2 linked regions of the Macaca fascicularis genome follow. The protein of the gene in region 1 interacts with the protein of each later gene in a pairwise test. Links are inferred from orthologs where the notes say so. Each region holds a gene or a part of one and is shown in the gene's direction. Other genes may lie near its edges. The genes, in order: HPRT1 and ISCU.

Evidence for each region.
Region 2: the proteins of HPRT1 (region 1) and ISCU interact in binary tests that used the Homo sapiens proteins (3 or more experiments, as listed by UniProt). The two-hybrid records come from large-scale screens. The link is inferred for Macaca fascicularis from reciprocal best matches to the Homo sapiens genes HPRT1 and ISCU.

What each region holds. Positions count from the first base shown.
Region 1 is NC_088395.1:140,745,377-140,749,190, forward strand, and holds part of HPRT1 (hypoxanthine-guanine phosphoribosyltransferase), read left to right. Parts: intron 1-602; coding exon 603-709; intron 710-2,621; coding exon 2,622-2,805; intron 2,806-3,814. UniProt on the Homo sapiens protein: Converts guanine to guanosine monophosphate, and hypoxanthine to inosine monophosphate. Transfers the 5-phosphoribosyl group from 5-phosphoribosylpyrophosphate onto the purine.
Region 2 is NC_088385.1:115,395,094-115,399,694, forward strand, and holds the start of ISCU (iron-sulfur cluster assembly enzyme ISCU), read left to right. Parts: upstream 1-1,552; 5' UTR 1,553-1,579; coding exon 1,580-1,693; intron 1,694-2,584; exon of another isoform or gene 2,585-3,215; coding exon 3,216-3,329; intron 3,330-4,222; coding exon 4,223-4,333; intron 4,334-4,601. Other genes in the region: SART3 (squamous cell carcinoma antigen recognized by T-cells 3), read right to left, coding at 1-147.

The sequences.
Region 1 (3,814 bases):
GACGGGGGTGTTCACCATGTTGGCCAGGCTGGTCTCAAACTCCTGACCTCAGGTGATCTGCCCGCCTCGGCCTCCCAAAGTGCTGGGATTACAGACCTGAGCCACTGTGCCCGGCCTGTTTTTTGTTTGTTTGTTTGTTTGTTTTTGAGACAGAGTCTTGCTCTGTTTCCCAGGCTGGAGTGAAGTGGTGCATTATTCTTGGCTCACTGCAACCTTCATCTCCCAGGTTCAAGTGATTCTCCTGCCTCAGCCTCCCAAGTAGCTGGTACTACAGGCATGTGTCACCACACCCGGCTAAGTTTTTTGTATTTTTAGTAAAGATGGGATTTTGCCATGTTGCCAAGGCTGGTCTCGAACTCCTGAGCTCAGGCAGTCTGCCTGCCTCAGCCTCCCAAAGTGCTGGGATTACAGGTGTGAACCAACGCGCCTGGCCTGTTGTTTTCTTATATAATTCATTATAATACCTACAAAGTTAACAGTTACTAATACCATCTTATATTCAAATTTCTCTGATAGACTAAGGTTATTTTTTAACATCTAAATCCAATCAAATGTTTGTATCCCATAATGCTCTCATTGAAACAGCTATATTTCTTTTTCAGATTAGTGATGATGAACCAGGTTATGACCTTGATTTATTCTGCATACCTAATCATTATGCTGAGGATTTGGAAAGGGTGTTTATTCCTCATGGACTAATTATGGACAGGTAAGTAAGATCTTAAAATGAGGTTTTTTACTTTTTCTTATGTTAATTTCAAATGTCAGCAACTGAGTACTTGCTATTTGAACATAAACTAGGCCAACTTATTAAATAATAGATGCTTTCTATTGTTAAAATATTCTTTATTAAAAAAAGAGAGGAGGGCCTTACTAATTACTTAGTATCAGTTGTGGTATAGTGGGACTCTGTAGGGACCAGAACAAAGTAAACATTGAAGGGAGATGGAAGAAGGAACTCTAGCCAGAGTCTTGCATTTCTCAGTTCTAAACAGGATAATGGGCTGGGGCTGAATCACATGAAGGCAAAGTCAGATTTTTATTATTATGCACATCTAGCTTGAAAATTTTCCGTTAAGTCAATTACAGTGAAAAACCTTACCTGGTATTGAATGCTTGCCTTGTATGTCTGGCTATTCTGTGTTTTTATTTTAAAATTATAATATCAAAATATTTGTGTTACAAAATATTCTAACTATGCATATATATATTTATATTTTAACATATGAGTATAGTTTTAAATGTTATTGGACACTTTTAATATCAGTGCATCTAGAGCTATCTAATATATTTTAAAGGTTGCATAGCATTCCATCTTATGGAGATACCATAACTGATTTAACCAGTTCACTATTGATAGACACTATCTTGTTCTTACAAACTGTACTAGAAGAAACATTCTTTTACATGTTTGGTATTTGTTCAGCTTTATTCAAGTGGAAATTCTGGTCAGGGGGAAAGAGTTTATTGAATATTTCGGTATTGCCAAATTATCCTCTAAGAAACTGAATCATTTTATACTCCTGATGTTATATGAGAGTGCCTTTTTCCTCACAATTTGTCTCTTTTTTTTTTTTTTTTTTTTTGAGACGGAGTCTCGCTGGAGTGCAGTGGCCGGATCTCAGCTCACTGCAAGCTCCGCCTCCCGGGTTTTTACGCCATTCTCCTGCCTCAGCCTCCCGAGTAGCCGGGACTACAGGCGCCCGCCACCTCGCCCGGCTAGTTTTTTGTATTTTTTAGTAGAGACGGGGTTTCACCGTGTTAGCCAGGATGGTCTCGAACTCCTGACCTCGTGATCCGCCCGTCTCGGCCTCCCAAAGTGCTGGGATTACAGGCTTGAGCCACCGCGCCCGGCCTTTTTTTTTTTTTTTTTTAAAGACAAGGTCTCTGTTGCCCAGGCTGGAGTGTAGCAGAATGATCACAGCTCACTGCAGTCCCAACCTCCTGGGTTCAAGCGATCCTCCCACCTCAGCCTCCTGAGTAGCTGGGACTATAGGTGTGCGCCACCACTGCCAGCTACTATTTTTATTTTGTAGAAATAGGGTTCGCCTTGTTACCCAGGCTGGTCTTGAACTCCTGGGTTCAAGTGATCTGGCCCACCTCAGCCTCCCAAAGTGCTGGGATTATAGGCGTGAGCCACTGGCCCGGTTTCTACAGTCTCTTTTAATATTGTATATTATCCAAGAAATTTCATTTAATCAGAACCTGCCAGTCTAATGGGTGAAAATTATATCTTGTTTTTATATGCATTAAAAAAAAATTATGATAGTGGTATGCTTGGTTTTTTTGAAGGTATCAAATTTTTTACCTTATGAAACATGGGGGCAAAGGATGTGTTACTTGGAAGATTTTTAAAAATTTTTAATGCATTTTTTTGAGACAAGGTCTTGCTTTGTTGTCCAGGCTAGAATGCAGTGGCACAATCACAGTTCACTCCAGCCTCAACATCCTGCAATAAAGTGATTTTCCCACCTCACCTCTCGAGTAGCTGGGACTGCAAGTACATACTACCATGCCTGGCTAATTTCCAGGCTGGTGTGGAAGTTTAGTGACTAAGAGGTGTTTGTTATAAAGTTTAACGTATGAAACTTTCTATTAAATTCCCGATTTTATTTCTGTAGGACTGAACGTCTTGCTCGAGATGTGATGAAGGAGATGGGAGGCCATCACATTGTAGCCCTCTGTGTGCTCAAGGGGGGCTATAAATTCTTTGCTGACCTGCTGGATTACATCAAAGCACTGAATAGAAATAGTGATAGATCCATTCCTATGACTGTAGATTTTATCAGACTGAAGAGCTATTGTGTGAGTATATTTAATATATGATTCTTTTTAATGGTAACAGTAGGTTTTCTTATATTTTCTTTGAATCTCTGCAAACTATACTGGCATTCATTTCACTTGGTTACAGTGAGATTTTTCTAACATATTCACTAGTAGTTTACATCAAAGCCAATACTGTCTTTTTAAAATTAGTCACCTTGGAGGATATGTACTTATTTTACAGGTATTTTTTTTTTTTTAATAAACTTCTTTTAGGAATTGCTGTTGGGACTTGGGATGCTGTTTTCACTATACATACTCACTAGTGGCAGATATCATCTCTTGAGCTACATTGGTTTGGGGGGAGTCAAAAGTCCTTTGGAGCTAGGTTTGACAAATAAGGTGGGTCAACACTTGTTTCCTAGAAAGCACATGGAGAGCTAGAGCATTGGCAAATTGAAGAAACCACTTTTTTTTTTAAACACACTTAAGAAAGGGGAGTGCAGGTATACCCGAGAGAGTATGGGTATACCAGAAACTGCTTTTGATCCACAGTCACTCTGCCTGTGTCACACAATTGAAATGCATCACAACGTTGACACTGTGGATGAAACAAAATCAGTGTGATCTTTACAAGTGAATTTCATTCATAATTTGATAGTGCAGATGTTTGATTTTTATTACTTTAGACTATTGTTTCTGATTTTATGTTGGGTTGGTATTTCCTGTGAGTTACTATTTTCCTTTAAAATAGGAATTTTTCATACTCTTCAAAGATGAGAACAAATGTCCAGCTTTTGCTGTTTCATGAATGAGTCTTGTCCATCTTTGTAGAAACTCGCCTTATGTTCACATTTTTATTGAGAGTAAGACCACTTATCTACATTTAACCTTCAACCTCATCCTCTCCATTAATCATCTATTTGAGTGACCCAAGTTTTTGACCTTTTCCATGTTTACATCAGTCCTGTAGGTGATTGGGCAGCCATTTAAGTATTATTATAGACATTTTCCCTATCTCATTAAAACCCTTTATGCCCATACATCATAA
Region 2 (4,601 bases), on another chromosome or scaffold:
CTTGTATGTCGCAGCGGCCACAGCCCGCGATAACACCTTCCTTCTTGTCCTCGCCGCCTTAACCTCATCCTCCTCTCCGTCAGCCTTGGGCCCAGCCTTGGACTCAGCCTCGGGTTCTGAAGCCGAGGTTGCGGCCGCAGTCGCCATCTTGCGCTTCTAATGACTCTCGGGTCTTCCCGCGGCCGCCGAAGACCCGCTGAGGCAGAAGCTGCCCGCGGCGCGCGCCTTATCAAAAGCCCGTTTTCTTGACACTGAAAGGGAAACTGGGAACCTTAGATAACGAGAAAATCTCCAAATACACTAAATTCATTTTATTTTATACCCCTGTAAAAACTCCCACCAGAGAAAAAACTCATTATCATGGCATACGTTCCGTCACAACTTCGGACAGAAGTTGGGTCTTTGGGCAGGAAGTGGAGGCCATAGAGGAAGTCATGAAGCGAGCGTGGTGTCTGTAGTAAAGAATTTGGCGCCATCTTGAGAAGGTCAAAGTGATTCTTAGAAAAAATACCTTACTTATCGCCTAGTGTGACCTGGCGCTTGGGTTTAGTCTCCCCAGCAACTGCACCTCAAACGCAAAGAAAACTGCAGGTCCTCGGGGAAGGATCGATTTCACCATTCAAGAGAAAAATCCATTTCCCAAAGAAATTCTTCCCCTTTATGTAAACATCTGGTACCTAGGAGGCGTTAAATACACTTGAGTTTTCCGGTTTTATAAGCTCACATACTGCAAACCAACAGTAAATACGCATTTCTTTAGAAATTCTTAATTGCTAGGCACCGACATATAAATTGAATTTGCTGTTGTTTCAGAGAGAAAAATAGACATATACTCATTTTTTTTCAATCAGGACATGGTGTTCGTTTCCTTCTTAAGCTTCCCATTGTTGAGGTAGGCAAGTACTGGAGTGTGTCTCTATCTCTACCTTGCTCCCTCATTAGCAAGCTTAATGGGCAGGAATTACGTCTGTTTTGCTTTCTGTTGGATCCCCGGGTCTAGTAGAGTGCCTTGACACATAGTAGGTACTCAACACAGATGCTGGCTTCATGATGAAGGAATTGTCCTCGAATTAATACAAAAAGGAAGATTCAGACTTAGCAAGCCGGTACCATTTGTCTAGGGACACACAGCCAGGAAGGAACCGAACCAGGATTCTAACCCAGGACTACCCAAGTTCGAATTCTAGTTGAACCTAAGCCCTAAGCGACCTTGGACGGAGTGACCAAACTGCCCTGAATCTCAGCTTCCTTAGCTGCAAAATAGGGTTAGGAAAAGTGGACTCAGTGGTCCTCTGCGCCGCATTCCCACACTGCAGAAGCCTGAGATCCTCTCTCAACCAGAATCCAGCACCCAGGACAAGCCCTCTAGCGACTTCAGACCTTCCCGCTCCCGACCCCGCCCGCCCCCGAGAGGCGTGGTCAAGGCGGGGCCACAGGGCGGAGGCTTGCACGGAACGGTAAGGCGCAGGCGCAAAGCCTCGGTGACGCCAGAGAGGCGCGCTCCCAGCTCGGCGCCGACTCGCAGACGCGCCCCGCCCCTCGGCATCGCTCTGGACTGGCGCAGGCGCAAGCCGGCAAGATGGCGGCAGCTGGAGCTGGCCGTCTGAGGCGGGCAGCGTCGGCTCTGCTGCTCCGGAGCCCCCGCCTGCCCGCCCGGGAGCTATCGGCCCCGGCCCGACTCTATCACAAGAAGGTAGGGACAAACGAGGGGACACGCGGAATGCCGACTCGGGGGAGGCCTGGGCTGGAGCGGCGGCCGCGGGGTTCTACGCAGCCAGGACTAGCTGTCGCCTCCCACGTCTTTGCCCTGACTCACTTTCCCTTGCTGCGCAGTGAGGCTCACTGCAACTGATAAACAACAGTTACCGCTCATCGGGCTGCGACTTCCAGGGGGCCCCGCCGCTGGCCGCGACTTCGTGCGTCCCAACTTTAAATTCGCCAACAGCCCAGGAGGCAGGGTCCTGTTGGGACTTGTCTTTTAGAGTCCAGGGACAGACACACCCCCGGAGCGGGCTCCGGCTTCAGCCACGCTGCTGCCCTGGCTAGATGACCTTGCGCTAGTCACTGCGCCTCTCTGAACTTGTTTCCCCAGGTGTAAATGAGGACTCTCAGCTGTCTCTTACAAAGGATACTGTGCATGGAGTCCTGTCATGGTTCCTGGCACATAGGCCCCAGCACGAGGAGACCGTTTCTGTTACTGCTTTAGGAGTGCATAGGGGAGTCAGGCTTGTAACCAACATGCGTAGTGTTTTTGTTTTGTTTTGGGGGTTTTTTTTTGGCGGGGAAGGAGGGATAGATGCATAGTTTGCAGCCCCTTGCTGTCTGGTGACGCAAAGTCCCCCAGACGTGAGACTCCCACTCTAGAAACAAAGAATGCCATAAATCAACGTGGCACAAAAAGTCCCTCCGTTAGATACTATCCTATAGGGGCCTTTACTTGGAGTCAAAATCCTTAGTCAGATGGGGAGGAAAAGGGGACTGGAAGATCGGGGTGCTTACTACTAACCAGTAACCACATTAAGGCCTTCTGTGTGCCAGTTCGAATGGATGTTGATTCTGATCTGGCCTCTGCCCTTTCTCCAAGGGCTTCTTCACTCCTCCCCCTCCCGGCGGTGTGTTTCGTTGAGGGTACACCCCGAGGAAACTTGGACTAGCAGCCTTTCAGCAGCCAGGGTGCGCTGCTGCACCAGGGTGATGACAGGCTCTGAAATACGGTAATGGCACTGTTTTTATTTTGAAAGACACATAAACGTACACATTCCATAGCATTGTTCTCTGTGTAACAGTCACCTTAAGGCTTCTAAAAGTTTTCCCTTCCTGGGCCATAGTTATTTTTAGAATTTTTAAATAGTAATCATCCTTTGAGGATAGTTTTTATTTGAAAATAACAAAACTGCTGTTTGAGCCCAAGTCTGGTGATGTAGGTGGGTAAAAGTCAAGTATTTTTGTAAAAACCCTATGGAATTAAGACATGATTTCACTGATATTTTTTTCTTCTAGGTGTCGCTAATCTGTGAAGTAGTTGTAGAGGAGACACAAAAGGAATTGGGGGTCACAAATGGTTCTCACTGACATGAGTGTAGACCTTTCTACTCAGGTGAAATTTGGTGATTGCCTGCCAGGTTCAAGATGCTGACTTCCAGGAGCTTGCCACCATACCAGAGACCAGCACCAATAGAGAGTGAACACGATTTATCTTAACCCTCTCATTTTAGGTTGTTGATCATTATGAAAATCCTAGAAACGTGGGGTCCCTTGACAAGACATCTAAAAATGTTGGAACTGGACTGGTGGGGGCTCCAGCATGTGGTGACGTAATGAAATTACAGGTATGGCTAGTCTTTAATAGTGATAACAATAATCCCTTTAAGTTTACAAAGCACTTGCACATACAGCATTTCACTCGGTCTCCATCTTTATTCCTGTGAGATGGGATGAGTCCATGTTAGACGTGATTGGAACAGGGCCTCAATCGTAGCTCTCCTGCCAGGCTAGTGTACTATGCCGACTTTTTCCGAAATAGAAAAGTAATCTCATTTTTGTACTCACTGTATAAGTTTAAATTCCAACTTCAGCCAACGAAAGAGTTTTGTGAATTTTACTGATCAAAGGAAAATCCCAGTGAGCTAGCAGTCCCCAATGAGATAAGAAACACAGTAAATTAAACCTGTCCCCAGATTGGGAGCAACATGAAGATAGTGTCTAGTGCTTTGGGTAAACTGTTGTTGTAGCGCCAATCTGCTGCTTCATGGTGAGTGGGCAGCTTGCCAGAGATCTTCATACCTATCTTGGAATACAGAAACAAAACAGGAGGAAACCACTAAGTATAATCTGCTGCCCAAGAAAAAAGTATTAACCAGAGACCTTTATTGTGTACTCTCTCAGTGTTTAAGAGGCAGATTGCCCCAGCAGCTGTGAGCAGACTGCCTCAAATAGAAGTTCATAGCCAAAATGCAAGCCAGAGTCGCAAAACAAAATAATATTGGGGTGGAGGAACATATTTTCCAGCTGATCTTTGTCAGTTGGGCCTGGATAATTGTCCCTGCATTTCACTTTTCATCACTGAGCTCTCTGAAACAAGGCAAAATCAGTAATTAATACCATCACTTAGTATGGAAAGCAAGCCCAAAGCCCTTGGGGAAGGCCCCAATGAACCTTCGTGAGTGCCAAGTTCCAGAGGGTGGTCCTAGGACTCACCACTTAACTCTTGTCTCTTTTCTAGATTCAAGTGGATGAAAAGGGGAAAATTGTGGATGCTAGGTTTAAAACATTTGGCTGTGGTTCTGCAATTGCCTCCAGCTCATTAGCCACTGAATGGGTGAAAGGAAAGACGGTAAGGTTGCTCACAAATCTGACAGAATGAAATTGCATTCACCCCAAGCCTGTCTCTTGACGGGTCTAATGGGTCAAAAACAACCATAACTTTTTTTTAATATTCTGAATTTTTAAAGTTTCTGCTATACAGATGTTGATTATATTAATTCTTCAAATTGGGAATTATAGATCATTCTAGATGATGTTTGGGTTTTTTTCTTGTTGATCATTTTGTTTGTTTGTTTGGGTGTTAATTACATACAAAAAAGATCATCACCTGTCCCTCT